Notamacropus eugenii: one gene and its partners. The protein of the gene in region 2 interacts with the protein of the main gene of each other region in a pairwise test. Links are inferred from orthologs where the notes say so. Each region holds a gene or a part of one and is shown on either strand. Other genes may lie near its edges. The genes, in order: PER1, CRY1, PER2 and BMAL1.

What was found.
Region 1: the proteins of CRY1 (region 2) and PER1 interact in binary tests that used the Homo sapiens proteins (3 or more experiments, as listed by UniProt). The link is inferred for Notamacropus eugenii from reciprocal best matches to the Homo sapiens genes CRY1 and PER1.
Region 3: the proteins of CRY1 (region 2) and PER2 interact in a two-hybrid assay, tested with the Homo sapiens proteins (5 studies listed by BioGRID, with this or other methods). The link is inferred for Notamacropus eugenii from reciprocal best matches to the Homo sapiens genes CRY1 and PER2.
Region 4: the proteins of CRY1 (region 2) and BMAL1 interact in a two-hybrid assay, tested with the Homo sapiens proteins (3 studies listed by BioGRID, with this or other methods). The link is inferred for Notamacropus eugenii from reciprocal best matches to the Homo sapiens genes CRY1 and BMAL1.

The regions. Positions count from the first base shown.
Region 1 is NC_092873.1:77,746,822-77,754,370, forward strand, and holds the start of PER1 (period circadian protein homolog 1), read left to right. Parts: upstream 1-4,545; 5' UTR 4,546-7,549. UniProt on the Homo sapiens protein: Transcriptional repressor which forms a core component of the circadian clock.
Region 2 is NC_092874.1:289,311,798-289,319,046, reverse strand, and holds the start of CRY1 (cryptochrome-1), read left to right. Parts: upstream 1-4,247; 5' UTR 4,248-4,804; coding exon 4,805-4,962; intron 4,963-7,249.
Region 3 is NC_092873.1:59,040,624-59,048,314, forward strand, and holds the start of PER2 (period circadian protein homolog 2), read left to right. Parts: upstream 1-4,677; 5' UTR 4,678-4,895; intron 4,896-7,691. UniProt on the Homo sapiens protein: Transcriptional repressor which forms a core component of the circadian clock.
Region 4 is NC_092877.1:31,954,041-31,961,326, forward strand, and holds the start of BMAL1 (basic helix-loop-helix ARNT-like protein 1), read right to left. Parts: upstream 3,015-7,286; 5' UTR 2,867-3,014; intron 1-2,866. UniProt on the Homo sapiens protein: Transcriptional activator which forms a core component of the circadian clock.

The DNA of each region.
Region 1 (7,549 bases), on a different chromosome or scaffold from region 2:
ACAGAGTCCAAGGGAAAAATGCACTCAAATTTAAAATACAATGGCAGTGAGGCACACCTGCAGGACACATGTGTAGCAAAGGTAATGTACAATTCCTGATGTTACAAGGCTCAAAAAGTCTTTCTCTCTTCATAGAGTCTTCGTGATCTGTTCCCAGGGGCGGCTTCTCTCCTCAGCATGACTCTAAATTGCCAGATGTCTTGCTCCTTGCAGCTTGGGGGACTTATCTCTCTATGTTCCTGTTTATCTGAAATATATTTCTCTGTTGTCTGACAGATGCAGAATTGAACTGTTCCCTTCTTGACTTAGTCAGAGAGGCCTTGTTATTGCCTAAAGAAACCAAGGTAGAAAAGAATCTTTTACAGTGAAAACACCTCATTTACACCTTGTAAATGTGTAAATTTATACATTCTAGGCTTTCTGTGACCCAACTGAAGTAGAGAGGTACTACTTTCCTCTTCCCTTATATTAGTTTTAAACTCTTTTGATTACATGTGTAAGAATTCAGGCAACTATATCCTTACTAACACTTGTTATGTGCTCTCCATTACTGGACAAAATCCAATCATTTTTATATTTTAAGCCTTGCCTCACTATCATAAAGCTCCCCAGCTGTGCCTGAGTATCCTTTCATATTCTATCCCACTTACTTCTTGCCACAATATCACAACTTAATCAAACATTTGTTAAGTGTCATATATATGTATATACATATACCTGTGATATATACATAAACACATATATAATCTGGTATGTATGTTAGGTTCTGGAGATAAAAAAACCCAAAACTCTGCCCTTCGGTAGCTTACATTTTGTCAGGGTATAATTCCATGCATAAGTAAACAAAAGGTAATGGAGAGGGAGCAGTAAAAGCTTGAAGGGGGGAAAAGCATTTATTAATTGCTAATTATATGCTTGGCACTTTGCTATTATCCCCATTTTACAGATGAAGACACTGAGGCAGATAGTGAGGTTAAGTAACTTATCAAGGGTCACACAGGTAGTAGTGTGAGGCTGGATTCCCAACTCCAGGTCCATTGTTTATCCAGTGCATCTCTGAGTGGCCACTAAGAAAAATGTCATGTAGAAGGTAGCTTTTGAGCTGTACTTTGAAGAACGTTAAGTATTTTAAGATGTGTAGCCCACATAAAAAGTCTCCAGGTGTTTTCATCCCAACTTTCACTCTCACTGGTGAGCTGGGTTCCCAAGAAGCTAGTTAACTTCTACTCCAGAGTTCTAGGGCTATTCTAAAAGGAAATGAAGTTCTTCTAAAATGTTATCAGCTTAAACCCTCATTCTGGCTGTTTCTCCCCATATCGATGGCTGGTGACAAAGAACATCTTCCCTTTGTCTCTGATTGACCCAGTTATTAGCATCCTAGTATCAAAGAATTATTTCCTGAGAAGATAACATATGAGCAGAATTTATTAAACATTTTCCCCAAATATCAGAGGAACATTTCTTCTAACACTAGGAAGGCATACTCCTCCTTCCATCACCTCAGTCCTTGGGAAGAATGACTTCAAACTCAAAATGGTTGCTATAAAGCATTATAAATTTATTTCCAAATTAGTCACAGTCACTGTTCCCTTAATGTAGAAGGACAAGGCAACTTTGAGTTGATCCCCTGCTGGGGCTGTCAGGCAGGTTGCTCCTTAGGGCAGGCAGCACTAGCACTTCATCTGCTCAGTTGCTTGTAAATTCTGATATGGACTACAGCTTCTAGACCCCTGGTAACTTGCTCAAAAGGTTGAAGACATTTTTGATATTTTTCACCGAAGAGCAGGAAAAAAATAGACACCACAAAGACAGATGTGCTCCTGGCTTCTCGGAAGCTCCAGGTGAGGCTGAAGGTTAACATTCACCAGCACCTGGAGCTGCTATGAAGCCAGGACTCCCAAGGCAATTCACCTCCCTTGCTTATCCCCAGGGAAAGGAAAAGATCCATTTGGCCAGATACTACCTTTTGTATAAACACCAAGTTCTGGCTCAGCATCAAATCAAAAGACTCCTCCTCACCACATAGCCAATGGATAGAAAGTAGCCATAGAATATCTACCCATGATTTGGAAAGGAGGGGTTTCCATTACAGATGCCCAAAAGCTGGCTCACCAAGCATCCACTCAAGGTCATTACATCAGGAAGAGCATGCTCTTGACAACCAGGCCTTCATTGTCCATTCCCTTGACTTAATCCCTTACCAAGACATAGAGATGAGAGTGAATTCCAGTAATGGGAAAAAGCCTGTTTGAAACCACTGAGGCAGGAGCTAGAATGTTGTGAAGAACATCAAGTATGTCTGTTTGGCAGGACATGAGAAAGGGAATAATATGCAGTAAATTTGGAACTGTAGGCTAGAGTCAGATCGCGAAAGATTTTGAATGCCGAACTTTTTGGTATATGATAGTAAAATCTGTATATTATACTAGAGGTAACAGGGAGTCATTGGAGTTTTTGATCGGAGAAATGATATGATCAGACCCCTGTACCACTTTGGCAGCTATGTATAGGACGGACTGGAAAGGGAGAGATGTGAGGCAGGGAGACAAATCAACAAGTTATTTCAGTAGTCCAGGTAACAGGTGATGAAGACTGATGGGAGAGATGTTGTAAGACTTGTCTAATGATTGGGGGTTTGGGAGAGTAAGGAATTGAGGTTGACATGGTGACTTCAACACTCCAATACCCCAATCTTAGTTCATTTTACCCCTTGATCATTTCATATATTTTCTGATCTTTCCAAGCTCCACATTCTGAGTTCCACCACCCCTCTCTCAAATTCAGGTTATCACACCTCACCTCAGCTTAATTATCACTAGGCAAAAGCAGCAGTAAATAGAATCATTAAAGACAGTACAGCTACTGGCTATATGACTCCTGGGCACAATCACACTTGTTTCAGTGCGGCTGTTGAGCAATTTTTTAAGACTTTACGTTGCACAGTATTGTTCTTACTAGGTGTAAGTATCTACATTGCTAGAGATTTGCTCAACTGGAGGTGATTTAAAAAAAAATTCTGTTCCTGTGACGGAGCCCCCCATTTTCCAGTCATCACTTTCCTCATCTTCACACAGCTCCCACCATCATCAGCATCCCCCACATCCCAAGTCCCTCAAGGGCATATTATCTCACATATTCACACAGCTCTACAGCTGGGGCTGTCAGCCTTCCCAATCTCTGAGAGTCACACTGCACCCCAAGGTTTATACTTTATCTCATCGCTGTGAGGCTGCATCTCCTCCATCTCGGGTCCTGACATTATCCCTAATTGATCCTGTACACACCTTGCTGGTACACAGCTATCTGCATTAGACTGTGAACTCCCGTGAGCAGAAGAAAGTGTGGCGTGGGGATGGACAGCGCGTGGCACAACAGTAGGGGCTTAATAAATGCCTGTTCACTGATGGATCGGTAGGTGGCATTCGCGGAGTCTGACACGATTGGCACAGCCATGTATCCCTTCCACGGCCCCGCGGGGTCGGTGGGGAACCTCCTAGGCCACATCGCCCGCCGTGGCCCATTCCCTGTACTGCCCCCCACTACACCCTTCCAGCGCAGCCACCAGACAGCTTTCTTCACCTAAAAACTGTCTGCCCCTCCACCCCACCTCTTCCCGCCGCTCTCCAGCCCCAAGCTCCTCCTTCACGCTCTCCCCCTCCCCTTACAGCCGCGCCTGCGCTAATGCTTGGGGCCGTGGGTGCTGGTCACGTCACGGAAAAATTCAGCTGAGTACTGGTAAACAAGTGGCCGCGTGAGGCGCCCCGCACGTGTCCTCTCCAGCTCCTCCCAAAGGTGGCCAATGAGAATCGTCTAGGGGCGGGACCTCCTCACGCGGTAGGGGACGAGGCAAACCAAAGGAATTTTCATTTGCCAATGGCCATTGAGAAAGGAAAAACTACGTGATTTCCGGTCGGGAAACTAGCAATCAGCGCTAGGAGGTGGGGGAGGGGGCTGAGAGCACGTGGAGTATACGCAGTTCGGCTTCTCCAGGACCAATGAGGAGACAGCTGGGGCTGACGGGGCCCAATGGGAACAGTTCTTGGAAGGACGGGGCGGGGCGGGGCAGCGGCACGCGGATTGGGGCATGGGTCGGCACGCCCAGACCAATGAGCGCATCAGAGGCGTGGCGTCCGGGCTTCTGGGCGGTGTTGTCCCGCGCCGGCTCTGTAGGGGGCTGGCCTCAGTGGGACGGATCTGGATCCTTGTGGGGAAGGAGTACTAAGGGGCGCTTGAGGCCAGAGCCTGGATCTTCGGAGCTCCGGGACCGACTGAAGGTTGGGGAAGTGGTGAGTGGGGCACGGGCCAGCGTGTGCGCAGAGGGGAGCAGGTTACACTGGTAGGCAAGGCGTCCTTTATTACATTCTCTGAGGCTTTCTTCCAAGCTCCCTGAGGAGGGGGAAACTGAGGCACAAAGTAGTTGAGTGACCTGTACAGAAAGTCCCAGGGTCGGGATTTAAGGGCGATCCTGTTTCCGTGGGAGTGGATGTCACACCATTGGGGAAGGTGTGTGTGTGTGTGTGTGTGTGTGTGTGTGTGTGTGTGTGTGTGTGTGTGTGTGTGTGTGTGTGTGTGTGTGTGTGTGTAGGGGCTGTCCATATATATCTGGGGTGAGCTTCTGTGACAGTCAGGTTGTGTGATGATGGGCACTGTCCTGCCAGGGGAGATGGGAGGAGGCTCTACAGAACAAGATACCACAGCCCCCCCTTCATGAAGCTTGCAGGCCGGTGGGGGAAGTTGGAATAAGTAAGTAGGTAATTACTTATATAATACAGAGCTATATGATGAGTGCATGAGAGCTAAGAACAAAGTGCTGAGACAGGAAAAATTATTCTTGTCAGGTTGGGAGAAACTTCAAGGACTAGGTGAAGTTTGAGGGTAGGATTACTCGCAACACAACTTTATGTGGGGTTTGGTGATTCAGATGTATGGTGGTCGTTTGGAGGAGTGGGTTAAGTACTTGTCTTTTGGTAGAACTTGAATGACTTGGAGTGGATTGTGAACTAGATAGAAGACTGATTAAAGTAGAGATTTGGAAAATAAAAGGGTGTCTTGTACCATCTTAGCACTTTGGCAAGTTCCTTCAGCATCAAGCTGGAGTTTGTGATGATCGTAATAACTGATTTATCTATCATTTAAAGTTTACAATACATTTTAAGATAATCCTAAATTATCTCATTTGATAAAATGAGATATTTCTAAAGCACTTCGCAAATCACTAGCTATTCTTATTATCAGCGCAGTGGCCCTTTGTGATAGGTACTATAGAATGTATTATTCTCATTTTATAGATGAGGAAACAGGTTATTAAGACCTTCCTATATGACCACACACAACTAATAAGCCTTGGGGATAGAATTCAAACCAAGGCCTCTCCTGACTCCCAATTCTATATTATTCTTTTCAGGAGATCATACTATTTTTTTAAAAATGTGTGTGTGTATACAATATGTACATGTATGTAGCCTAGCCATTTATACACACATATATGTGTATGTATACATACCTCCTATGCAATGGTGCAAAAAATATTGAAACATGGAAAAGCATGCTGTTTATTATACTATTAGATTTTGGACTATTAGAGATGACCTCATGGGATGCATAAATCCAATATTGATGGGTTCTAATATCCAAACTTGTAGAAAGTTGAATTAAATGGAGTTCTTGAGGAGGTATCGGTCTTAGGTTTGGAGATGATTGGGGGACAAGGTGGGAAAAATGGAGATATATGAGAGATATGATTAACAGAATGGAAATACTTTTTCAGGTTAAATACCTTTTTTTATCCTAATTCTTTAATTATGGGATTAGAAGGAAATTTACCAGGTGAAATGTTGGTGTTTAGGGGAAAAGATAATAGAATCAATAGAATGTTAGACCTGGAAGAAGAATTAAAAATATCTCAGCCACCCCCTCCCCCTCTTTACAGATCAGAAAATTGAGGCCTATAGAAAGTACTTGATCCAGGCCACAGAGTTAATTTTTGGCAGAACTTTGACTAGAAGCCAAGTCTTGACTTCTAGTCCAGTAAGCTACTTTGCTTTGGGGGGCAGTGATGATATCCACATCCCAGGGCCTGTTTGTTTGAGCACCAGTTAAGGGATCTATACTTATATCAACGTATAGAAAATTGTAATAATAGTGCTGGGTTCCAGATAAAGGAGGATAGTGATTATGGATGTGGAGAAGAGATTGAACAGCTTAGCTTCTGAATAAAGTGGAGTCTAGTAGATAGAAGGGAACAGACAGTTTCTTGGGTTCTTCAGGGTGTAGGAAGGGAGAGCTGGATGCCAAAGGGCCAGATTCTTGAGTCTGGAAAAGGATATATCATATAGTATTGTCCCTAGGCTGAGAGGGACTGGACACCTGGGTTCCAGGAACTAGGCCGAAAATTAGGCAGATGGCAAAGAATCCTAGGTATATACCAGACACAAAGATTAGAGAGGTGAGTGACATCTTCCTTGAACACTAGAGTCAAGAACTTTTGTCAGAGTATTAGATATGGAACAGGACCAGAGGCAGGGTAGGGAACTCTTTTTTGTCCCTACACCTGGGAAGGACATTCTCATCATTCCTGCACATATACAAATATGATAAAGGAACAGAAGTGAGGGATTTAGAGCAAGGTAGTATCTAAGACCCAACTGTCCTAAGTCTTTCCTGAAAGCCCTTGGCTTCTCTTCCTGGAAACCCCCTTCACTCAGCCCCATTCCCAACTACTTATCTTTTTCCAGATGCTTAATTAAACCTAATGCTCCATACTGCCAGATCTCTTCTCCATCAGGTCCCTTCCAGGTTCACTTCCAGCTAGAACAGTAGATGATCCCTTGGTCTTCTCCTAAGTCTCTCCAGTTCTGTCTGCACTTTGCTTTGTTTTTCTTATCTTGTACCTGTACCTCTGTCCCGTAACCTTTGGTTGCCACTGTGATCGGCATTTGGAAGGCAAGGAAGCAAAGCCTTGTTAGTCTTATAGAACCCAGCTTTCCACACCCTGGCTTTTTATGACCACGTGAGCAAATTTGGGGTATAGCGATGATAGAACTTGAAGGTCTGGTATGGTTCATTGTAGGACAAAAAGGATTGACAACTGGGTCCTGTAGCTGGCCGACTATTTCCCCCAATTCTGCCTCTCCAGGAACACCTGGCTTTGGGACAGGAAGGGAGTGGGGTGGGGATAGGGAGGGTGAGGAGAGAACCGGGACGGGACGGCTGCATGTCCTAGGCTGACTGCCAAAAGAACAAGATGTTCTCACTGGCCCGGCCACCGCCCTCCCACTGGCTGCCTCCCAAACCACTGCTTCTCCAGGCTTCCAGGATCCCTGCCCCACATTCTTCAAGCCACTTGGCCCCGCCTGCAGCCTGCCCCCTTCCTCTGCTTTGACGTCACTCCTTTACCTGCCCCTTCTCCTTTCATTGATGGCAGCTGGGCTCGGTTACTGTGGGAACAAAGAGACCGAAGAGAAGTAAACTGGGCATGGGGGGAGCGGGTGTGGAGGAGGATAAGGAGGGAGGAAGTGAAGGGGAAGGGAATAAGCATGTATATAGTGCC
Region 2 (7,249 bases):
TCCTCCCCAGCTTCCTTCAAGCCTCCACCCAGGGCCTCCCTTTTCCTCTACTTTTTAGGGGTTTTTCATAGGCACTCCAGTTAAGACTATAGGTGCCTTCTCAGAATAATGATTTTGAATGCAAAAACTACAAAAGACATATTACATTGAAAAACAAGTTCTTGGACCCCAGAATAAGAGCCCCTACAAGCTGTTCATGTTTCCTCCCCATCTCAGATTTTCTGATCTGTATCAAGGCTGTATGTGTATTCTGTCCCTGCACCCCATATTCTCTATATCCCCAATAACTAGCAGAGTACCTTGTATATAATAGGTGCTGAATAAATACTCCATGAATTGAATTTTCAGGCTCATACTAGCGGTATGACCCTGGGCAAGTCACTTAGCCTATGTCTGCCTGCAAAATGTCATCTACAACATGGGGGTGATAGTAGCTCCTAACTCCTGGGTTGTTGCGAAGCTAAAGTAAGATTGTTTTTGTAAAGTGCTTAACAAACCTCCAAGTACTCTATAAATGCTATTTGTATTATAGTTGTTCTATCCGGACATCTAAACTGGATCAGTGAGGGATCAGGGGTTTAACCTGTAACATCTGGCAATAGGTACAGGGAGATATAAATACCCTTTGACCTAGCAATATCACTACTGAATCTGTATCCCAAAGAGATTTAAAAAAGGAAAAGGACCTATATGTACAAAAATATTTGTAGCAGTTCTTTGTTGGGGCAAAGAACTGGAAATGGAGGGGATGCTCATCAATTGGGGAATGACTGAACAAGTTGTGGTATGTGATTATGATGGAATACTATTGGGCTTTAAGAAATGATGAGCAGGATGCTCTCAGAAAAACCTGGAAAGACTTTTATGAGCTGATTCAAAGTGACATGTGCTTTGTACTGTGTACAAAGTAACAGCAATATTGTAAGATGAATCAGCTGTGAATGACTTAGCTATTCTCAGAGATACAATGATCCGAGACAACTCTGAAGGACTTAAGATAAAAAATGCTATTCATCCCCAGGGAAAGAACTGACAGAGTCTGAATACAGACAGAAGCATACGGTTTTTTACTTTCTTTTTTTTTTTTTAATTTTTTTATCAGTTTTCTTTCACAACATGACTAATATGGAAATGTTTTGCATGACTACACATGTAGAACCTATATGGAATTGCTTGCCTTCTCAGTGGGGATGGGTGGGAAGGGAGGAAGGGAGAGAAGCTGGAACTCAAAGTTTTAAAAATGAATGTTAAAATTTGTTTTTGCATGTAACTGGGAGAAAATAAGATACTAAATAAAAACAAACAACAAAGAAAAGATAAAAATAATGATCCCTGTTCTCAAGGAGCTTCCTTTCTATCGGATGGGGAGGGGGAAGAGTCTAGAATGACTGAAGTTTTGAACCGAGGGAATAAGAGGAGGAGGATGCTATCCTGGGAAAATATGGAAGTGAGTTGGGGAAAAGGTGGTGAAAACTACTGGATGTCTTCAGCTTTGGGTTCCAGCCCGTCCAGATGGAGGCATCCAGTAATGGGTTGGAGTCACAGGGCTGGAATTTAGGAGAAAAACAAGGGATTCTGACCCCTGCATAGAGGTCATCATGGAACCTGCCAGGGAAGATAACAGCCCCAGGTTAGAGTGTTGGGGCTGTCTACCTCTTTACAGGTGCATGGCGGGTCTAGAAGTGATCACTAATAATAACCCCAGGTCCACCTCTTTATAGGTGCATGGATAGTCTACAAGTGATCAATCAGAGCAACCATGACTGGAAAAGCTGCCCCTGGATTCCCAATTCTGGGCACCCTGTGGGTTGGGCAAACCAGGAAGTACTCCATGACTTTCATGCCCCATTTAAGGTAGAAACCTTAAATGTTCTTCAAGGGAATGAATGGAAATTTCAAGCAAGTAAAGGGTAGGAGCACTTCTCTGTGTGGTCATACTCTCCTCATAACAGTTTTATGGGAAATAATGAGAAGTGGGAACAGGTAGCACATGGCTGCCCCACTGATGTCAATGGAGCCAGCGCCCACATCATACAAGGAGTAGAAGGGTGGGAGTGGGTGCCTGGAAGGGGAAGGAGAGAAAAATTTGTAATGTCTCCCAGCCACTCCAGATCTCTGGATTCCCAGGATCCAAGAACCAAATAAGATGGGAAAAGTGATACTGAAAATGCAGATGGGATTCATAGGAAGGTTACCTGGTGGTGTCTGGGTGTGCCAATCTCTTGGCAGAGGGAGTTAGAAGAGAAAATGAAGGAAGGCCATAGAAAGAAGGCTTGAAGATTAATGAATGAAAATGGTGGGCGGGACAAATTCCTGGAAGATATGATAAGGTATAAAATCAAGAGTATAAGAAAAGGCATTTACTTGGACAAGTTGGACTTCCTTCAAGCTAGGAGTAAAGGAGGGAGACAGGTATAAATATAAACAGGTGTTTAGGTACAGATTTGAGGAGAAATGAGAACTGAAGACGGGGGAGATTTAGGAAGTTAGGATGATCTGAGGGTATGGAGACATGAGTATCAGAGTTTATGCTCTGGAACTATTTGAGGATCTATTTGAGGGTAGAGAACATGACTTTGTAGCAGACCCAGACGGCATGATTACACGGCTTCCTCTTCGAGGCATTCTGAAGGATGGCAGAGGACAATGGGAGTGACTCAGGATTGAGAGTCTTCGTAGTGTAAGCGAAACAAAAGAACCAGGGATTCAAGGTACATGACGGAGCCTTGTTGAACTGGTTAACTATAGGGATGAGACAATGAAGGCAAGCAAAGAGCAGGCATAATGTACTGGGGGAAGGGAGTCAGGACTCAGAAAATCAGAGGATGCTGGTGAGGACCAAAATCAGGTTTAGGAGTGAGACGTGGACAATGCTGGAGGATGGGAGATTGGGATTTCAGATCCCAAGATCGGATATCGAGGGAGCACAGTTTGGTGTGAAGGGGGGGTGGGTCTATCCCTTGGATGGAGGGGAGATATTGATCATGGGAATCTAGAGGAGAGTATTGATGGGAGGGGACAGAGGGGAACGTTTATGCTTAATTCCTCAACCATGAGGGCAGAGGGTGGAATCAAAGACTCAGAGATTCCTACGAAAGACGCGAGAGGACCAGGAAGGCTGCAGATCTCAGGGCCACGAGGTTCCAGACCTGATGAGTCAGACCGGAGATGTGAGCCTCCAGGGGAGGCTGCAGAAGCGTTGGAGGGCCCCGAAGGGCATCAGCCAAGGGGGAGGGTCTGCTTGCCCTTCGGCTGGGGAGTTTGACAAGAGCTCGCAGCCACCGAGGGCAGCCTGGGGGCTTCTAGGGGTTAGAAGAAAAAGTGGCCAGGCTCCCCGTCGCGGGAGAGGTGGGGAAGTAAGGCTTCTCAGGTTCGTTTCCAGAGAACGTTCATCCCCCAGAGTCCGACTCGGGGCTACCGTGAGAGGCCGTCAGAAAGAGGTCTGGCACCCCAAGTGGAAGCGGGCCGAGCTGGGCGAAGCCCCCGGGGGTGTCACAAATGGATGCGGGTGGGGAAGGGGTATCCCCGATCCTGGAGATGGGGTGTAGGAGAAGGGGAGTCACGCAGCCGTTGATGAAAGTGACCCCCGGGAGTGTCTGGGAAGAGAGGGTCACCCGGGGGTGCCTCTGGAGAAGTGGGGCTCCCTGAGGCCCCTAGCATTTAGATAGAGCCTCCCACGTGCCGGGCACTGGGCTGAGTAAGTGCTTTTTACAAACACTATCTCCTTGGACTCTCCATAACAATGCTTGGAGATAGGTGCTGACTAGCCCCATTTTACAGGTGAGGAAACTGAGGCAGAGGATGACCCAGATCACGTGGCTAGTCGGTGTCCTGCGCTCCGGACTTTCTGGTCACCTTGGGGATAACTTCTGGGGCCCCCTGAAGACCCTTGAGGGCGCCTTGAAGGGGGCGGGGCACGAAGAGGGTGGGTCAGGCCCAGACTTCAGTAAGCCCCTAGCCCAGCGCTCTGCTGGGGCAGGGGCAAGGGCAGGGCGGGAGCGGCTGCGCAGGCTCACTGCTCAGCACGGGACCACGCGCCGGGCGCGTGCAGGGCCGCCCCGGGAGCGCGCGCGCGCGGCTGCCGCCGAGCTCCTCGCAGCCCCGTGCTCATCCGGGACTCCACCGGCTCCCGGACTGTCAGCAGCCAATCGCGGCCCTCGGGGGCGGGGCTTGGGTGTTGGCTCACGCGGTACGGGGAGAGGTCGCCACCGGCTCCGTGGGGGGGAAGGGGGAGGCTGGGACGCCATCGATACCCGTGAGAGCGAAGGACGGGGAGCGCCGTCAGCTACGACTCACGTCTGCAAAGCCTGCGGCGGCGGCCAGGGGCCGAGCGGCTGCTTCGGGAGCGCGAGGCGCCGCCATGGGTCCCCGGCTCCTCCCTGCCGCCGGTTGCCGGGTGTAGTAAACACACTTCAGAAACGTGACGAGCTGGCGGTCACGTGGCAGGGGCTTCAGCCAATGGGCGTCCGGGGGCGGGGCCTGGGCTGCTGACGCGTCCGCCCCAGCGCGAGGAGCCAGAGTCCGAGCCGGAGCTGGCACTGACTCCGGGAACCCAAGAGCAGGCGGGCCGGAGCGGGATCCGGCCTCGGACCAAGGCCGGCGCCAGAACCTGAGCTTCCCCTTCTTCTCCTTCTCTGTCGGCCCCGGCTCGGGCCGGCGCGGCCACGTGACCCCCGGGGCGTCGGCGCGAGGCTCCCCCCCACCGGTCCGCCGGGACGCGATGTGGCCGGGCGGCCGCGGGCTTCGCTGGGTCCTAGCGCCCGCCGCTCTCTAAGGCCCCTCCGGGAGACGGGCAGGCTGCGAGATGGGAGTGAACGCCGTGCACTGGTTCCGGAAGGGGCTTCGGCTCCACGACAACCCCGCGCTCAAGGAGTGCATCGAGGGCGCCGACACCGTGCGCTGCGTCTACATCCTGGACCCCTGGTTCGCGGGCTCCTCCAACGTGGGCATCAACAGGTGGAGGTGAGTCCGGGCTCGGACAATGACTGGGAGGGAAGGAGGGTGGGGAGGGGGCCCGGCTCCCAGAGCCACGTGTCGATCAACGTGTGATGTCACCGTCTGCTTCCCTCTCCGTGAGAGCCACGAGTCGGTCGTATTGATCGATGATCTATATGGGATACTGTAATTTTCTCGGAGCCTCAGTTTCCCCCTCTGTAAGGGGGAAGGATGGACTCCGAGGCCCTTACCCCAGAGCCACCCGTCAATCATGTTGATTGGCAATCAGTGTGGGATACTGTAATTTTCTCGGAGCCTCAATTTCTTCCTCCGTGAAATGGAGGGGGTGGGCTCTAGAGCCACAGGTCAGTCAGTCAGCATGGGATGTTGTAATTTTCTGTGAGCCTCAGTTTCTTTCTGTGTAAAGTTTGGAGATGCCAGCCACCTCTTCATCCTTATGTGAATCTCTGAGCCTCAGTTTCTTTATTTGTAAAAGGAGGACGTTGGCCTAAATTGGCTCCTGAAGTCCTTGTACCTGAGCCTCGGTTTTCTTTCTCTGTACCTGTAAGGGGGGGTTGCACTGGGTGGGCTGTAAGAACCCTATTGTCCCTAGAACTCATCCTCCGAGCCTCAGTTTCTCTGCCTGTCAAATGAGCAATTTGGGTTACATGGGCTTGGAGGAGCCTCTGATCTCTGGATATGTGACTCTGTGATCCCTCAGGGACCAAACATTTTATGAGGGGTCTGGAGAGGTGACTATGATGTATGTACAGCCTTTTGCAAACTTGAGAGCCCTGTATAAATGATCCCAGCTCTTCTTAGGTGCCTGCAGTGGGGGAGGACTAAGCACTGAAAGAGCTGGTCTGTGGGTTTGGGGGGGAGGGACAGTTTGGAAGGGTTAGAGGTCCCTACCTACAGAGAGCAAAGTGAGCCCCCTTCTCATTCAGTGACTTGGCCAAGGGCACACTGGTAGCGAGAGCCAGACCTCTTCTGGCTCCAAAGCAAGTCCCTGCCATCAAGGAGCTCACTTCCCTGCTGGAGTTGGGGGTAGGTAATGTGCCCCATGCATAAGTCAGTGCATTTGTGGTGGGATGGGGGAGATCTGTGATTTCTGGTATAGGCACAGGCCAGGCTTGGGACTTCAGATCCCACTTGTGACACTGATTCACCTCCATGGGCCTCCCTTTTCTCTAATATAAAAATGAAGGTGTTGGACCCCCTTGGCCCTTCTAACTGTATGTCTGATCCTTGTGTGGTGTTGAAACTCTAAGTATAGAGCAGCAGAGGGCTGCTGGGCAGATGGGGACCTCCTCTGTGCTTATTATCAAGGATCCTGGAAACCACCTCCCTTCTCATTTCATAGAAGAGGACACTGAAGCCCCCCAAAGTAGCAGAACCAGGATGAGACATCCCCTCCTCTCTCTACAGGATCAGAAAATGGTAGCTCTGAAGTTTGCTGAGTGGCCCCTGTTGCAGCCCTCTTTAGCCCCGTTTTATAGCTGAGAGACTTGAAGCAAAGAGGTGTCAGATAAGTTGCATGGAGTCAGGGGGCTAGGAGGGGCCAGAGCTGGGACCTCAGCCTGAATGCCCTGATGCCTGCCATCTCCCAGGCACACGCCACAGCCCTGGGCTTTCTAATCAAGTCTGCGTTTGAGAGCAGGAAGGAAGGAGTGCTATTACTTAAGAATTAAACCAAAACGACCAGAGTTCTCCTGGCCTCTCTGCTCCATTCTGTGTATTCCCCAAATCCAGTCCACCCCAAGCTTGTGGCTTCCTGCTCTCCCTGAGTACAGCCCTGGCCGCCAGCGCGTCTCTGTGTGTACTCTTTGTTTTGGTGCCAGAGCCAAGACTACGGGCATTTGGGGGCTTCTCCACCTTGAGGCTGATGTTGGAGCAGCAGCAGGGCCCGGCTTGTGGCTCAGCTTTTCCTTACTCCGCCTTGTGGCTGAGAAGATCCAGCACACTTGGACTTTATAGGCACCTCAGAAAGAGATCCTCCCAGCCCATCACATGGGAGAAACCTAGGAAATGATGCTCTCCCTTCCTTCCCATCATCCCCCTGAAATATCAGCTTCTAGCCCTACCCTCCCTTCATGGGGAAACTTTCCTTAACAGCCCTTTTCCCTGGATTCCCAGACAGGTGATGATAAATGGCAGAGGAGATTCAGAGCAAATGCTCGCCTCACACCTGGCACTGAGTCAGTGCTAATGGCATCAGACCAGTATAGCACAGGCATTTATTCCTCCAGGGAAAAGAAAACCCCTTAAAAATGGCCAGACCGTCAACTAGAGAATCCTCAGAAGAATCATATCA
Region 3 (7,691 bases), on a different chromosome or scaffold from region 2:
TAGTGAGTCTGAGGTCAGTTTTGAACCCAGATCCTCCTGACTCCAGGAGGGGTGCTCTATCCACTGCACCACCTAGCTGCCTCACTATTAAGTGCCAAGCACTGAGCATTGAGGCTACAGTCACAGAAGCAGGACAGTCCTTGTCCTCAAGGAGCTCACATCCCACACATAGAGGAGGGGTGGGCGAAGTTTTGGTCTTAGATGTCCCAGGGATGATGACTGGAGAAGCAGAACAGGGGTGCACAGGGATTGGAGTGTTTACTGATTCTCAGAGTGAGAAGTGGAAGTGGGTGAAAGTCAAGCTCCCAAGTTATAGGCTAGCCAAGGAAGGGGGGAAAGGGAAGGAAGCTCAGAGGCCAGGGACTTCGCCTCTCCCAGACATAGGCTCTAGAGCCCTGGTCTGGAAGGTGGAGCAGTGGCAGCAGAGAAGGAAGAGGCTCTCTACAAGAGGAAGGAGGCTGAAATAGCAGAGAAGTAGATATGGGCACCCACACTGGGAGCTGTCCAAAAGCAAAGGGGCTGTATTGAGAGGTGGGAGGTTCTTCCTTTCTAGAGGTCTTGGAGGAATGAATGAATCAATCAATTTATTATATGCCAGACACTGGGGCAACAAAAACTAGCATACAAGACAGTTACATTCTCATAGGAGGAGACAACCCGCATAAAGCAAAACCTGGACAAGCACTGGGAAGAGGGTTTAGAGGGGATTCTCACTCAGGGAGGCATCATCTTAGTTGGTTTCCATGGTCTGCTCAGTCTCTCGGATTCTGGGATATGCTTTATCCCTCCAAGTTAATTACTAACTTCTTGAAGGTAGAAGGTCAGTATCTATTTGCCTTCAATGTCCAACTCTAACGACCCAGGAAAGAGTCCTGCACACAGTAGGCACTTGGTCTTAGGCAGAATGGTTCTGTTGTCTACTCTATTTCCTTCAGGTCAGCCTCTGATCATCCTCAAGCACCTGTGTTTGGGCCCATGTCCATTCCAATGTCCCTGTTGGTTACTTCTCTCCAGCTTGATTTCTTTGACTCACCACTCGCCCTTCAAGAAGAATGTCTCCAGGGTCATTCTGGCCCATTGGAATCTCTTCCTCTTTGGGGCGGTCAGTCCTTTGTATCTGAAACAAAATCTTTATCATTTTCTTATATTTGGTCTTATTTTTCCCCATCAAGAATGTAAACCCCTTAAAATAGGAAAGATTACCCAAGGATACCACCCCAAAGAGGTTCAAGAAAGAGGAAAAGGGCCCATAGGTACAAAAATATTCATGGCAGCAGTTTTTTGGAGGTAGTAAATAATGAGGAAGAGAGTATGTCCTTCAGTTGGGGAACAGTGGAACAAATTAGGACATATAAATGTAATAGGATATTTTGTAGCATAAGAAATGACAGATTCAGAGAAAGCAAGGAAGTCTTCACTGAACTGATGTGAAGTGTAGTGAGCAGAACCAGGAGAGTGATTTCTCCAAGAACAGTGCTACTGTAAAGGAAGACAACTTCAGAACTTGGATCAATGAATGTACAGCTCTTGAGGACCAGTGACGAAGCCAGCCATCCACCCATAGACAGAGGGTGGTGTTGGATGAGACACATAGTTTCACACAGGCTAATATGCATGGCTGTTGTGAATGAGCATTAAGATAATTTGGTACAAGAAAGGGTTTGTTTGTTTTGGAGGGAGGATGGAGGAGAGAGGGAATGATGATAGTGATACCAAGAAAAGTCAGTGAAGTTTTCTTAAAAATACACAAAACACAAAAAGGTTCAGAGGGAAAAACAGGCCAGAGCAAGTCAAGTCAAAAAGCATTCGTCAAACACCTACTATATACCAGAGGATGCGCTGAGCACTGAAGAGCTTCACAGCTCATATGTTGAATTTAGCCAGCACTTAAAAAAACTCCAAGCTGTCCACAGAGATATCCCCTGCTTCACACATAGGCGTCTTGGGATGTGGAAATGTTCATACTTGGGGGTGGAATAGGAAAGGCTAATAAAAAAAAGATCAGGGATTCCTCCCCCTCCCCCTCCCCCTTTGTATTTCTCAGGTCTCCTGATGGAGTCTTGCATATAGCAGAAGATCCTTGGTTTATTTAACTGATCCTAGGGAGGGAATGGCTCTGAGCTGAAAGGAGCCAGATGGATCCTCAGAGGACCTCAGACGTCATTTGCTCCAACCTCCACCTGGGCAAGTATCCCACTCTTACATTCCACAGGCATTTACTGAGCACCTACTGTGTGCTTGGTTGTGTGTGATGAGCTGGGCATATAAAGGCAAACTGATACACAGTCCCTGCTCTTGAGGAGCTTACATTCTCTTGGAGGAAGAAACAATGTCTGTGTAAATAATGAAATACAAATAAATGCAAAGTCATTAGGGGGACTGAAGGGATGCTAGTAACTGGGAGGTGGGGCAAGATCAGGGAAAATGATTATCCAGACTCTGCTTGAAGACCTACTGGGGAGTTGCCGGGGGAGGGGGACAAGGACCCATCACTCTCTCCCTCCCTCTTTTCCTCCCTCCTTCCTTCTCCCTCCTCTCTTTCTCTCTCTCTCCCTCCATTTCTTCTCTCTGTCTCTGTCTCTCTCTCTGTCTCTGTTTCTGTCTCCCTCTCTCTCTCTCTCTCTCTCTCTCTCTCTCTCTCTCTCTTCTCTCTCTCTCTCTCTCTCTCTCTCTCTCTCTCTCTCTCTCTCTCTCTCCCCCCTCTCCTATTAATTGGACTGCTTTGTTTTCTTTCTATTCACAGAACCTAACACAATGTCTTGCACTTAGTAGGTGCTTAGGCAACATAGGTCAATCAAATTGAATACTTTGGGACATTGCAAGAGAGATTCTTCTTCAGGTATAGTTAATTAGGATTTTATGACTTCTGAGGTGTCTTTTAGCTCTCAGACGGTAAAAAATCATTTTCCTGCTAGAACCCAGAGGAGTGTACCTAGCCCTTGCCTTGGAGTCCACAGAGGCTATATTAGAATCAGGGTGCCACCTAAATTGCCATTTGTGCAAGCCCAGTGAGTCACTCCAAGTCTGTGAGCTTTAGTTTCCTCATCTGTAAAATGGGCATAATATTCATACTTGCCAGGAGGCTGTGAGAAAAGCGCTGTTGTGTCAAAGGAGATGGAACCAATGATTTCAATGATTCAGGAAAGAGTGGACGAGAGGAGATTCCCTTTCCTCAGGCAAATAAGCACCTTCCCATAGACACATCAGCTGAAAAAGTTGCCTCAAGCACCGTGAGGCTTTCCTAAAGTCACGTGACCAGAATGTGGCCAAGGAAGAATTTGAACCCTGCCTTCCTAGCTCCCAGTGCAGCTTCCTGGCCACTGCCTCTCCTGATAGGAATGTGGGTTGCTGTTATTATTATATTTCCTATATTATTTATTATATATCTGTGATCTTATTATATATCATATATAATTATTGTTATTAACTGGGTGCCTGGTCTGTAGGGTCATATACTCAGTGAGATGCTGTCAGGAGGCCAGGGCTGGAATCCTGTCTACTTTTGGTGTCCTTCCTCCTCCGCAAGATGGGGATAGTTGTACATACATTATGTACATATATTTGTATACGTGTATGTAGGTACATGGGACAGCTAAGTGGTGCCTGGAGTCAGGAAGACTCATTTCCCTGAGTTCAAATTCGGCCTCAGACACTTACTAGCTGTGTGACCCTGGACAAGTCATTTCAGCCTGTTTCCTCAGTTTCCTCATCTGTAACATGAGCTGGAGAAGGAAATGGCAAGCCACTCCAGGATCTCTGCCAAGAAAATGGGTCACAGAGGGCTGTGCCTGAAACACTCAAAAATGCATGTATATGCACATATTTGTGTATATACATATCCACCGTATACATGAACATGTATGTGTATATTCTAGCTTGCATATACACGTAGTGTGTGGGATGAGTATATGTAATGTATATACGTCTACATTCTCGTCCTCACAAACGCACACAAAAATCTCCGTATGTCTCTATTAGGTTATCGTCCCGCATCGCGCAAGGTCTGTACGTGCATGCCTTTATGTATATGCTTACGATGCGCAGATGCGCCCAGGTCAATGACAGGATAGCGCTACAATGTATCCCAACTCTCGAGTCGGGGCTGGGGTGGGGGCAGGGTCGGGTTGAGCTCCCGTCCCCGCCCGCCCCCGGGAGTCAATCTGAAGGAAGGCCGGCGGGTTCCTGCTCCGCGCTGGCGAAGGCGGCTCAATCCTCTGCCTGCCTCTTCTCAGCCCACGCCGAGCTCTAACCTGCTTCCAAACCGCAGCCTCCGTCACACTGACGTCAATGGAGCCGGGCGCGTCCCCAGTGGGTGTATGTGGGCGCTAGTCCTCGGCTTTCCCCCTCCCTTCTCCATTCCTTGCCACCCCCCCACTCCTGAATGGATTGGTCCACTCCGCTCCCCGCTTCCCCGGTAACGCCGAAGGCTCTTGAATGAAGCCAGCCCAGGGAGCGGAAGTGGAAGAAACCATCTGGGAGGCTCCGGGGGTCCCCCGCGCGTTCATTGAAGGGCTCCGCGTCGGAGTGAACATGGTGTTCCATGTGCGTCTTATGTAAAACGAGCGACAGGTGGCTCAGCCAGTGGGCTCGCGGCACCGGCCGAGGCCCCCGCCCCGCTATGCAGATGAGCCGGGGCTGCCTCCAATGCCGGGGCGCGGGGGGCGGGCCCGGCGCGTGCGGTCACGTTTTCCACTATGTGACAGCCGCCCGGCCTCGTAGCGCTAGCGAGCGGCGGCCGCGTCGCGTCCTGTAGGTCCCCAGCTCGGCCTCCGCCTCCGCCTCGGCGTTGGCCGCTCGCCTCCCGCCGTTCGGCCCGGACCCGGCTCCTGCTCTTGCGCCAGCGGGTTGGGGAGCGTTGTGGCCGCGCTGCTGCCGCCGCCGCCCGGGGAGCCGCGGTGAGTGCGGGTGGGGAGAGGGGCCTGGAGGGTCGGGGGGGAGGGGCGCGCCGTGGGGAGGGCATGGAGTGGGGAGTCTGGCCCGGTGACGTCACCGCCCCGCGAGCTCCCGCCGGGTGCAGCGCTTTGGGGGGCGATGGCGCGGACGTGGGACGCTTGGCTCCCCTCTCCCCGGAGGCTGGCAGCTCCCCGAGGACAGGCTTTGTCTCCCAGCTGCGGGCACACAGCAGGCGCTTAATTCGTGCTTGCTGCGGGATTGATAGATGCGTACTTGTTGCTTCCTCCATCCTCCTGCAGAGTGCCCCCCCGGGGGGCAGGCCGTGCGGTCCGACCTTGCAGTCAGGAAGGTCCGCCTTCGCTTACAGCCCCAGACGAACAACGACCCTGGGCAAGTCATTGAACCTCTAAGCCTCAGTTTCCTCTTGTGTAAAATGGGGTGAACCCAAAGGAGAATCTATGTACAAGCCATAACGCTGTGTTTAAATGCTAGCCATCACTGTTGTGCGTAGCGCAGCACACAGCTGGAGCTTAATACGTGTTTGATTGGGGTCCGGGGTGTGTGTATGGAGTCAGGGGACCTGGGTGCGAGTCTCACCTCTCTCATGCTCCCTACCGCTATGCCTGGCGGCAGTTTGGAAGAGTGGCGAAAGCCCCTGGGTTCGAACGGGCCGCGAGCCCCCCGGCCCCTGGACAGGGAGCCCCTCGGGGCCGTTCCTGGTCTGAGCCTTCCCGGGCTCGTGGTAAGGATCAGACGAGACGAGGCCCGTGTAAGGTGCTCGCCAGACGTGGCCGGCGTGGGGGGGCGGGGAGCGAGGGGAGCTCTTAACCGGAGCCTGACGGCCTCAGTCCGTGGAAACAGCGCCTCCCCGGGGGCAGAGAAAGCGGTGCACTCGGGTGCTTATGCAAGCTCCCCTTGCCGTGGAATCGATTGGCACGGACACGCTAACAGTCCGACTGCGTAACCGAAATTCATAGTATAACTGTTATTTTACTCACCCGCGTTTTAAAGAGGAAGGAACCAGGATCCACGAAGGCTGCATGACTTGCCTTCTCCACGCCTCAAGAAAATGAGGAGGTTGGACTAGTCCTTCGGGGAAGACGACCAAGGGACCAGGAGGTTGTGACTTGCTCAGAGTCACAGGCTGGGGAGGCAGAACCCAGGCCAGCTTGGAAGGCCAGTGGTAAAAGTGAAAATCAGGGTTCATGGTTGCTGTGACAGAAGCAGGTGTATCTTGCAGACACAGGCAAGAACCATCTTGAGAGCTGATTCATCCTGGACCTGTTTCCTTAAGGTCCTTTCAGCTGCTGGCCTCAGTTTCCTTATCTGTAAAATGAGAGAGAGGGAAATGGCAAAGCACTCCAGTATCTCTGCCAAGGATACCCCAGATGGGGTCACAAAAAGTCAGACACAACTGACCAGCAACACCAAGCTGGAGCTGGGTTTGGGAGACAGGAGGTGAATGTGATTTAACCCTGGGGACCCTGATCACTAAGCTGGCTCAGAGGGAGGAGGGTGAGACCCTCTGGCATGAAGAAAAGAGTTCAGGGCTTGTGTTGTAGGCTTGTTTGCTTTGGCCCAGAGATGTATTCATGGCTGGAAATTGGGGTGTCCATCTAGGAACCCCAAACTTTGTGGGTAAAAGTGAATTATGAGTTTAGTTAAGATCCCAAGTCACAGAATCTTTTAAAACACCAATTTGTACACCAGAAAGGGTATGCAGAACAGAGGGCTCAATGGTTCAGTGGTTCTTTAATTCTCTGGATAGGGAGGTGTGGTCATTATCTTTCTGGAACTCTCTCAGGGCACTGACTTTGACCGGTTTCTTTTGTCTCTCTTCAGTGGACAGAACATTGAACAGTGCCTCTTGGTGGTCTGAAAACCCATGGCCAGTGTTACTTTCCTTGAATGCATTTGTGTGGCCATATCTTAAGATCATTGGGTGGCCTAAATTTATTAAGTTTAATTAAGTTGATAGATTCTGGCAAAATGACTGTTCTTAGAGTGATTTCTTGTTGAAGATGTCCCCCCCCCCCGCAACTGACACAGCAGACTGCTAAGAACAGTAATGTTCACCTCACTGATCGGCAACCAGTCAGTCCATCTAGAAACTTCACCTCCTTGGAATGAAGACTTGTGGCCCAGGAAGTGCTTGGAGGAGCTTCCTGAGGAACAGAATGGACTTTGCCAAGGGCAGTGCCATGGCAAGCAGTTCATTCGCTGGAAGTGGTTTCTTGACTCTGAACTGGTTTAATTCTTCTCTTATGTGCAGTTTTGACAGGTAATCTGACCGACTCCTGCTTCTCTTCCCATTTATTTCATCATGTTTCCCTTAACACTCTCTGTCTTTCCTGCCAAACTGACCCACTCCCCATTCTCTGACCCCAAAATCTCATCTTCTGTCTGCCTGCCTATGCCCCATACGGTACCTCCTGCCTGTTCAGCCATGACTCCTCATTGCTTGCTGCCTGCCTGCATGAAGGGCAGAGCTAGTACAAGGGCCTTCTTCTGGAAGGTGCCCACAGGACTGAATTCTTTTTGGGGTGAGCTTAAGATGCCGATGTAGATTTCCCCTCCCCAGTGGGCAAAAGGGGACCTCTTACAGAACTCTGCCCCTCCAGAGGGCCTCAGATCCTCCCTATGGGTTCTGGAGGCAGCTTCTGCAAAATGCCCCAGAACCCAAGGGCCACCTAGAATGTGCTCTGTCCCTCCCTGGGCCCCTTGACCTTTCCACTTCCTTAGCTTCCCTCTAGGATCAGTCACCTCTGATTGGAGAAGTTTTCAGCATTCTGTAGCTA
Region 4 (7,286 bases), on a different chromosome or scaffold from region 2:
TTCTCTTTCTAGACAACATGCTTCTATGAATGCAATCTGAGATCATATTAGTGTTTCTGGCTGCCATGAGACAATGTGGCCTCATACTGTTTGCAATACCACTCAAATCCCTAAGGTCTATTTCATATGAACCCCTGTCTAGCCATGATTTCTTCATCCTATGTATCTTTAACAGTTTGTTCAGCTGAAAAAAATTTAACCCCAGTACAGGGCTTTACATTTATCTCTATTTTATTTGATTAAAATTAGCTGTGATTAAATTTGCCTGTCATCAATGCAGCTAAGATTCTTTCAGATTGCAAGTCAATTTTAGATGGGCCTCCTAGGTTTTTATCTTTTCAGAATCTGATAAACATGCCATCTACGTCTTGCAGCCGGAAGAATAAATTTCAAACAAAGACACTTCAGAGATATTTAGCAGATAAATATATTCTTTTCTGAATTTCTAATTAGTTATGTTTGGAAGGTTAGGGCTGGAAAGGTTATACTTTAGAGATCATATTGTCCAAACCCTTCATTTACAGGTGAAACCTTATAAGACTCACTTAAATGACTTACTTACCCAAAATCACAAAGGCAGTTGATGCCAGCGTTGGACCTTGTATCTAGTTTTCCTGACTCCTAGTCTAGTGTTCTTACATTTATAAAAGGCTGGTTATATATCACAAATATATCACAAAAAGAAGTAGGTTCTTTTACATTTGATGCTAAAATAATAATCCAAAATTAAATCATGTCAAATATTATAGTTTTAATTTAAGCTATTCACCTTTTACATCTAAAACATGGGAATTCCACTAGACATCCAATTGTCTGTACGTAGTTTCAAATCCTGCATCAGAAATTAATTTCAAAAATTCATCTCAAATGTGTTAAGTGAACCATTTTTAAGACTTGGCAATAAAATATGAATGGAAAACTGCAATTTTTAATATTTCAATGTACTGATATGGTAACCAAATTTAAAATAATGCTTTTCTCTTGCAAGCAATGGGCAAGTAGGTGGCACAGCAGACAAGAGCACTGGGGCTTGGAATCAGGAAGACTCATCTTCATGAGTTCAAATCTGTCCTCAGACACTTCCTACCTGTGTGACCCTGGGCAAGTCACCTAACCCACTTTGCCTCAGTTTCCTCATCTGTAAAATGAGCTAGAGAAGGAAATGGCAAACCAGTATCTTTGCCAAAAGGAACTCAAAACGGGTCACTGGGAGTTAGACAATAACTCGAAAGAAAATCAAGGCATAACTCAAAATTACCAATGGTAAAAATCATTTTGAACTCAACAATGAATTAATCAATGAATTAAGAATCCCAACAAGCCAAATTTACATCAGAAGCCAAAGTCATTATCTAGTAGAGTGGACATTTTACGTACAGTTTATCATATGACATCAGCAGATGACAGAAAAATAAATGACAGCTCTAGATACCTCAGAATGAACGCTACCTAAAACGCAGCTTTGAAACACCAAATTTTAAAAATATCTTTTCCAAATCAAGGCCTGTTAAGGAATGACTATTGATCAATCCTAAATCAACTGCTCAAAACACAATTAAGAAAACGTTCATCTTCATTTTCTGCTGAAACACGGAAACCATTTATTGGTTTGAAAGGTGAAACCTTGAAGGTGGAGCAGCCTATAAAGCGGGCGGGGACGCAAGTCAAGTGGGTTTAATTCAGGTCAGTCACCTCAACCTAAACTTAAAAAAAAAAAAGACAAACATACCTGAAGCGAGGGCAAAGACTTTTCCACCCCCAAAACACACTTCCCTCTCCGAACCCCTCCCCTTTTCACCTGGAGGAAAGGCTTGGGTAACACGAGAGTCCCAGAAAGCAAGTCTTATTTTATCTTCCGTCCCATTCACTGAGCAAACAAGGGTTGGTTGGTTGGGCGGTGGACACCGGACAAACACCGGACAAACACCGGGCCCTCCCCCCGCCCCTCCCCCGACATCTGTCAAACCCCTCGGGCCTTCGGGGCTCGGACCGAGGCGACCCCGCTCCCCGAGGGCTAACGACGCGCCCCAGAAGCGCTCCCCGTCAGCTCAGCCCGGGCTGGGCTCGACTCGCGGGTCCAAATGTCCAACCAAGAGCACATCCCGGGTGGAAGTCCGCCCGGATGGACTGGGTGGCCCATCCTCTCTCACGCCCTCCGACGCTTGGCCAAAGCGCAGAGCAAGCGGGGCGCCGGCCAGGGTCGCCCCGAACCACCAGCTCGCGCCCCTCTTCCCTCTTTCCCCACCCCCCAAAGCGAGGCAAGTCCTCTGCCTCTTTCTGTATCCCCAGGACTTAGCACAGGGGCTGACACACAGCAGGCGTCTAATAAACGTTTATGAATCGAACTGCTCAGAGCGAGGAGGGGGAGGGGATGGAGGACAGAAGGATTCCCCCCCTTCTCGAAACCTGCCAGAGGCTGACGTCGGTTTCCCTGCTTCCCTGAAATATACTCGCGCGAGCCGGCCCCAGCTCCCCCGTTCTGTCCCTTTAAGAGGCAGCAAACAGTCTCCCCTCCCCCATGACAGGTAGAGGGAGCGGGGAGGGTCTGAGGAGTGAATTGGGAACCCTGCACCTTTAAGGTGACAGCAGGAACCTCGGCCGCTCCCCCCTCCCCCGCTCCAGCTGGGGGGCAGCCGGAGGGAGAACGGTCCCTGGGCGCCTTTAAGAGAGGCTCTCTAGGGGAGGGGGTACCGACCGGGGAGGGGGCGGTCTGTGCCTTTAAGGGAGACCGATCGTCCGAGGGCGCTCGGCGGCCCAGGGGCACTGTGCCTTTAAGGGCGTCAACGGTCCCTGAGGGCAGCCGGAGCCCGAGCCGGGGCCCACTGCCTCTCGGCTCCCTGCCGCCGGGCCAGCCGGAGGAACTCACCGTGGGCGGGCGAGCTGCCCGGAGGGCGCGCGGTCCGGGGCCCCAGCTCTCCTCGGTTTCCGCGGCGGCGGCGGCGGTGGCGGCAGCAGCGGCGGTGGCACAGGAGGAGGCAGAGGAGGAGGCAACTGCGAGCCCCACTCCAGTAAACAGGCACCTCCGTCCCTGACCTACTTTCTGCTTTCCCTAAATGTCGCACCACTAACCTACTTTCCGACCAATCCGCTCCCCGCCGGCCCAGGCCCGGCCCCCAGCCCACCAATCGTAGAGCCCAACCCCCCCTTACTCCTCCCTCCAATGGAGGAGCCTGGAAGCCCGGATACCTGCCTCTCTCCACGAGCCAATCAAAAAGCCCAGAGGGACCCCGGTTCGGCGGCCACCGCTCGCCAATCGGAGCTCGGCTCCGAGGGTCAGATTCACCAATCGTTGAGAGCCTGGGGAGCGGCTCTGGCCAATAGAGGGACGCCAAGGAGGTGGGGAAGTAGGAGGGCGGGGCCGTCTACCTGACGCTTCATCCCAACCAATCAGCACACTCATCTAAAGTTCACACCCTGGAGAAGCCTCCAATCAGAGCGGGCGCTTCCTTTTCTATTGGGTTCCTCCCCACCCCACTGCCCCGCTTGTCCGCATTCCTCTGCCGGCGGCGGGGTGAGCACCTGTTGCCTTGGGTGGCCCTTCATTGCTCGATGCCGAGTCATTCCAAGCTCGACCTCCCGGCTCCTTTGGGCTGGACCCGGAGCCCGCAGTTGGAACTGGCCTTCACTCCCGGGTCCTCCCCGGTCCTCTGCGCCTTCTCCCTGGACACCCCAGCAAGCTTTCCAGTCCACCGACTCATTTTGTCTCCCGGGAGTGCCTTGGACCCTGGGCGCTTGCGGTTACCGCAGCCGTTGTGCGTGCAGAGGAGGAAACTGAGGCACGTAGTGGTTAAAGGGCCTTCTCAGAGGTCACACACTGAAACTGACCTAGGAGACCAGCAAGGTCCTTTCCAGCTGAGCCCCCAGAGGAGGGGGAGGGGGAGTCTAGCTAAGTCAGCAAGCAGTTATTAAGCGCATACCAAGTGCAGAACACTGTGCTGGGATCTGAAGCTACAAAGACAAACGGTTTTTTTTTAAATCGACTTTTAAGATTCAGTTTGTAGGTTTGAGGGATCGCCACAAGTACACAAAGTGTGGTCAAGGAAAATCGAGAAGAAGATACTGAGAAGGGGACCAGGAAAAGCGTCGGGGAAGTCATGCCAGGCAGAAATCTATAAGAAAGTTCTAAGAAAGGTGAGAGAGGACACGTTCTGTGTGGAGGAGGGGGAGGGGTGTGCCATGCAGGTGAGAGGTGGAATTAAGATTTCAGAGAACAGCAAATAGAAAGGAAAAGTGAGTAAAAGGAACTAGGTTGACCAGGGCCAAAGTGGAAAGAGTTTTAAATGTCAGGAGGTGAAACTGGTATTTTATCCTAGAGGCGAAAGGGAGATGGTACCAGAGATTCTTAAAGAGAGAAGTGATGTGGGAACAGGAAAGATGACTTTTGATACTATGTGGAAAAATGACGGGAAGAAGGAAAAGACTGGAAAAAGGACTGATTAGGAGTCTTTTGAGGTAGTCCCAACCAAAAGCTGATGAGGCTCTGAATTAAGGAGTTACCCTGTGTGAGAGGTGAGAACAGGAAAGCTATTAGGAAGGTAGAATTCACTATATTTGATAATTGATTGGATATGGGGAAGGGAGGAAAGGGCTCTTAAAAATGAGGGAAGAAACTGGAAACCTGTGTGTCTAAAAGGATGTTGTCCCCACTAGAAGTATGGAAGTCTGGAGGAACAGGTTTAAGAGAAGGAAAGATGCATTCCATTTTGAGTTGAGTTTCAGATGCTTAGCAGACATCTAGATGGAGATGTTCGGTGAGCTGTTGGTAATATGGAATTAGTTCAACGATTTGTGTCATGGACCGCTTCAGCAATCTAATGAAGCCTATGGACCCTTAATCACATATTTTAAATGCATAAAATGAAATTCATAGTGTTGCAAAAGAATACAATTGTATTGAAATAACAGTTATCAAGATCATTTTTTAAAGTTGAACCCCAGATTAAGTATCCCTAGACTACATCAAGAGAGAGATTAGGACCTCATATCTAAATTTGAGAAGAAACAAGCTGAGGTAGGTTGACTATTCACCTTATCACCTGACTCCTGAAATTATTCCTTTTTAGACTACACAATAGATAGCAGGACTGCCTGGTACATCTTTTTATCCCCCACAAAGACTGCCTTGAAAGAATTTGGTAATCAGTAAAAGTAGAATGCCTTTTAAAGTCAGTCAGTCAACATCATTCACAGAACTACTTGCTATCTTGTGTACTCTAGACAGAGATGAAATAAATAAAAGTGGTCATAAGGAACTTGCAATTTAATTGGAATCCTAGTGCTTTATCTTTTGGATCTGTTCCAACTTTATCTAAACTTCAAACCCCAATTTTTCCTTTCTTGTAAGTCTCTTTCTTGGTGTACCTCCTCCCTTCTCCAGGCTCTTTCTTTGTATTCATAATAGCAGTAGCTATAGTTTTATATAGCACTTTATGCAGTCTTGATTAACCAAATCACAGATGAACTTAATCCTCAGGAACTGAAAGACTTGGAAGATCCTGATGACTTGAGCCACTGTCAGTGATATCAGAAAGATCAGAAGTAGAGGGCATACAAAGTGTTTTACAGATATCATCTCATGTAATGCTCATGGCAATCCTAGAAGGTAGGCGTTGTTGTGATCTCCTTTTTACAGATAAGGAAACTCAGAGAGAAGTTAAAGTGATTGCCCAGGATCAGAACAGTAAGTACCCAAGATCAGATTTGTGCTTAGGTTTTTGTAACCCAGAGCTATATCCACCACGTTGCCTAATTGCCTGGGCAAATTTTGTTTCAGTTGTCAAAAATGGGAAGAGAATGGAATCTATGAACTCTCGAGAGGTCAGCTTGACTTCAGTTCTTTTGGAAAGTCTACAACTAATGAGAACTGCTGTTCTTTTCATCTTACTTTTATTTAAAGAGAGGCAATGTAAGCAATGTGGATAAAGAATTGGCTTTTGAGTGTCGGAGGCCTGGGTTCATGTCTCATCTCTGCCACATATTGACCATTTGACATTAGACAAACCACTTAAACTCAGAGCCGCAGGCAAGTCTCTTAAAACTGTAAATTATAGAAGGGATGCTGGTCTACTTTGGCGTAGGAAATTCCTTGCCTAGAGCTCCCTACAACAATGAAATTACAGGTGAGATTTAAAAAAAAAATATTGATGTCTTTTTTTCCTTTGTTATGCCATTACCCTCATTTCCTACTTTTTAATCTACCCATAGATACTTTTTTTTTGTCTTAGCACTCTCTCCTTGGAGGTCATCTGCTTTTATCCAATGACCCAAAGTCTACGATCCTTTCAAATTTGTTAAAAACTTGAATATAGTTTACTTATGATGATTCAATCAAGATGCCTGGGCCTTCTGTGTTTATATCAAAGTGGGATTGAAACACTTACCCTTACACCTTGTAACAAACATTATTGAAAAATGGAAGAGGAGAAAGTGGTTCAGTAAAAACCAGTTAACATCAACTATGTTTTGACAGGATATATAATACTGCAGTCTGTGAACTTAGTTTGCTTTGTGGTGGTATTTTTTTTCAATATATTTTGGTAATTTGCATTTCAGTATAATTGGTTTCCTTTGGAATTTACTCTGGTGAAGCCGTCTATAGGCTTCACCAGACTGCCCAAAGGGAGGACCATGAGACAAAAAAAGGTTAAGAATTCCTAGTCTAGAATGTATTATTAAAGAGATAGTAGTGAATATTTAAATAAGGAAGTAGTGATCACAATAACTAAAGTAGCTTTATCAAGAACAGGTTATACCAGACTAACCTAGTGTCCTTTATACATTTTTCAAGTATTGAATCCCATCTGGACTTTATGCCAATCCTGTGTGGAAAAGCAGCATTATCAATCAAACAAAGAACATTTACTAAGCCTTTATTGTGTGACAGGCATTGTGCTTTTTGTCACAGTGGATAGAGCATGGAGCCTGGAATCAGGAAGACCTCAATTAAATTCCAACCTCAGACCCTGAGCAAGTCACTTAACTGGTGTCTGCCTCATCTCTCTCATTTGTTAAGTGAGAAGGTTGGATTTGGCCTCCCAAAATCCATGTCAGCTCTAAATCTATGATCCTATATGCATATACAAATATATGAAGATAATTTGAGGAAGAAGAAGTAGAGAGGGACCAGGAGGGACTTCATGTGGAAGGGAGTTCTTTAGCTGAGTTTGAAGGAAATGGAACTCGAGGATGGGGACCAGAGGTAAGAATATCGTGTGTGAGAAACAACAAGATTGCCAGTCTGCCTGGATCCTGGACTAATGTATGTTGGAAAGGTAGGTTGGGGCCAG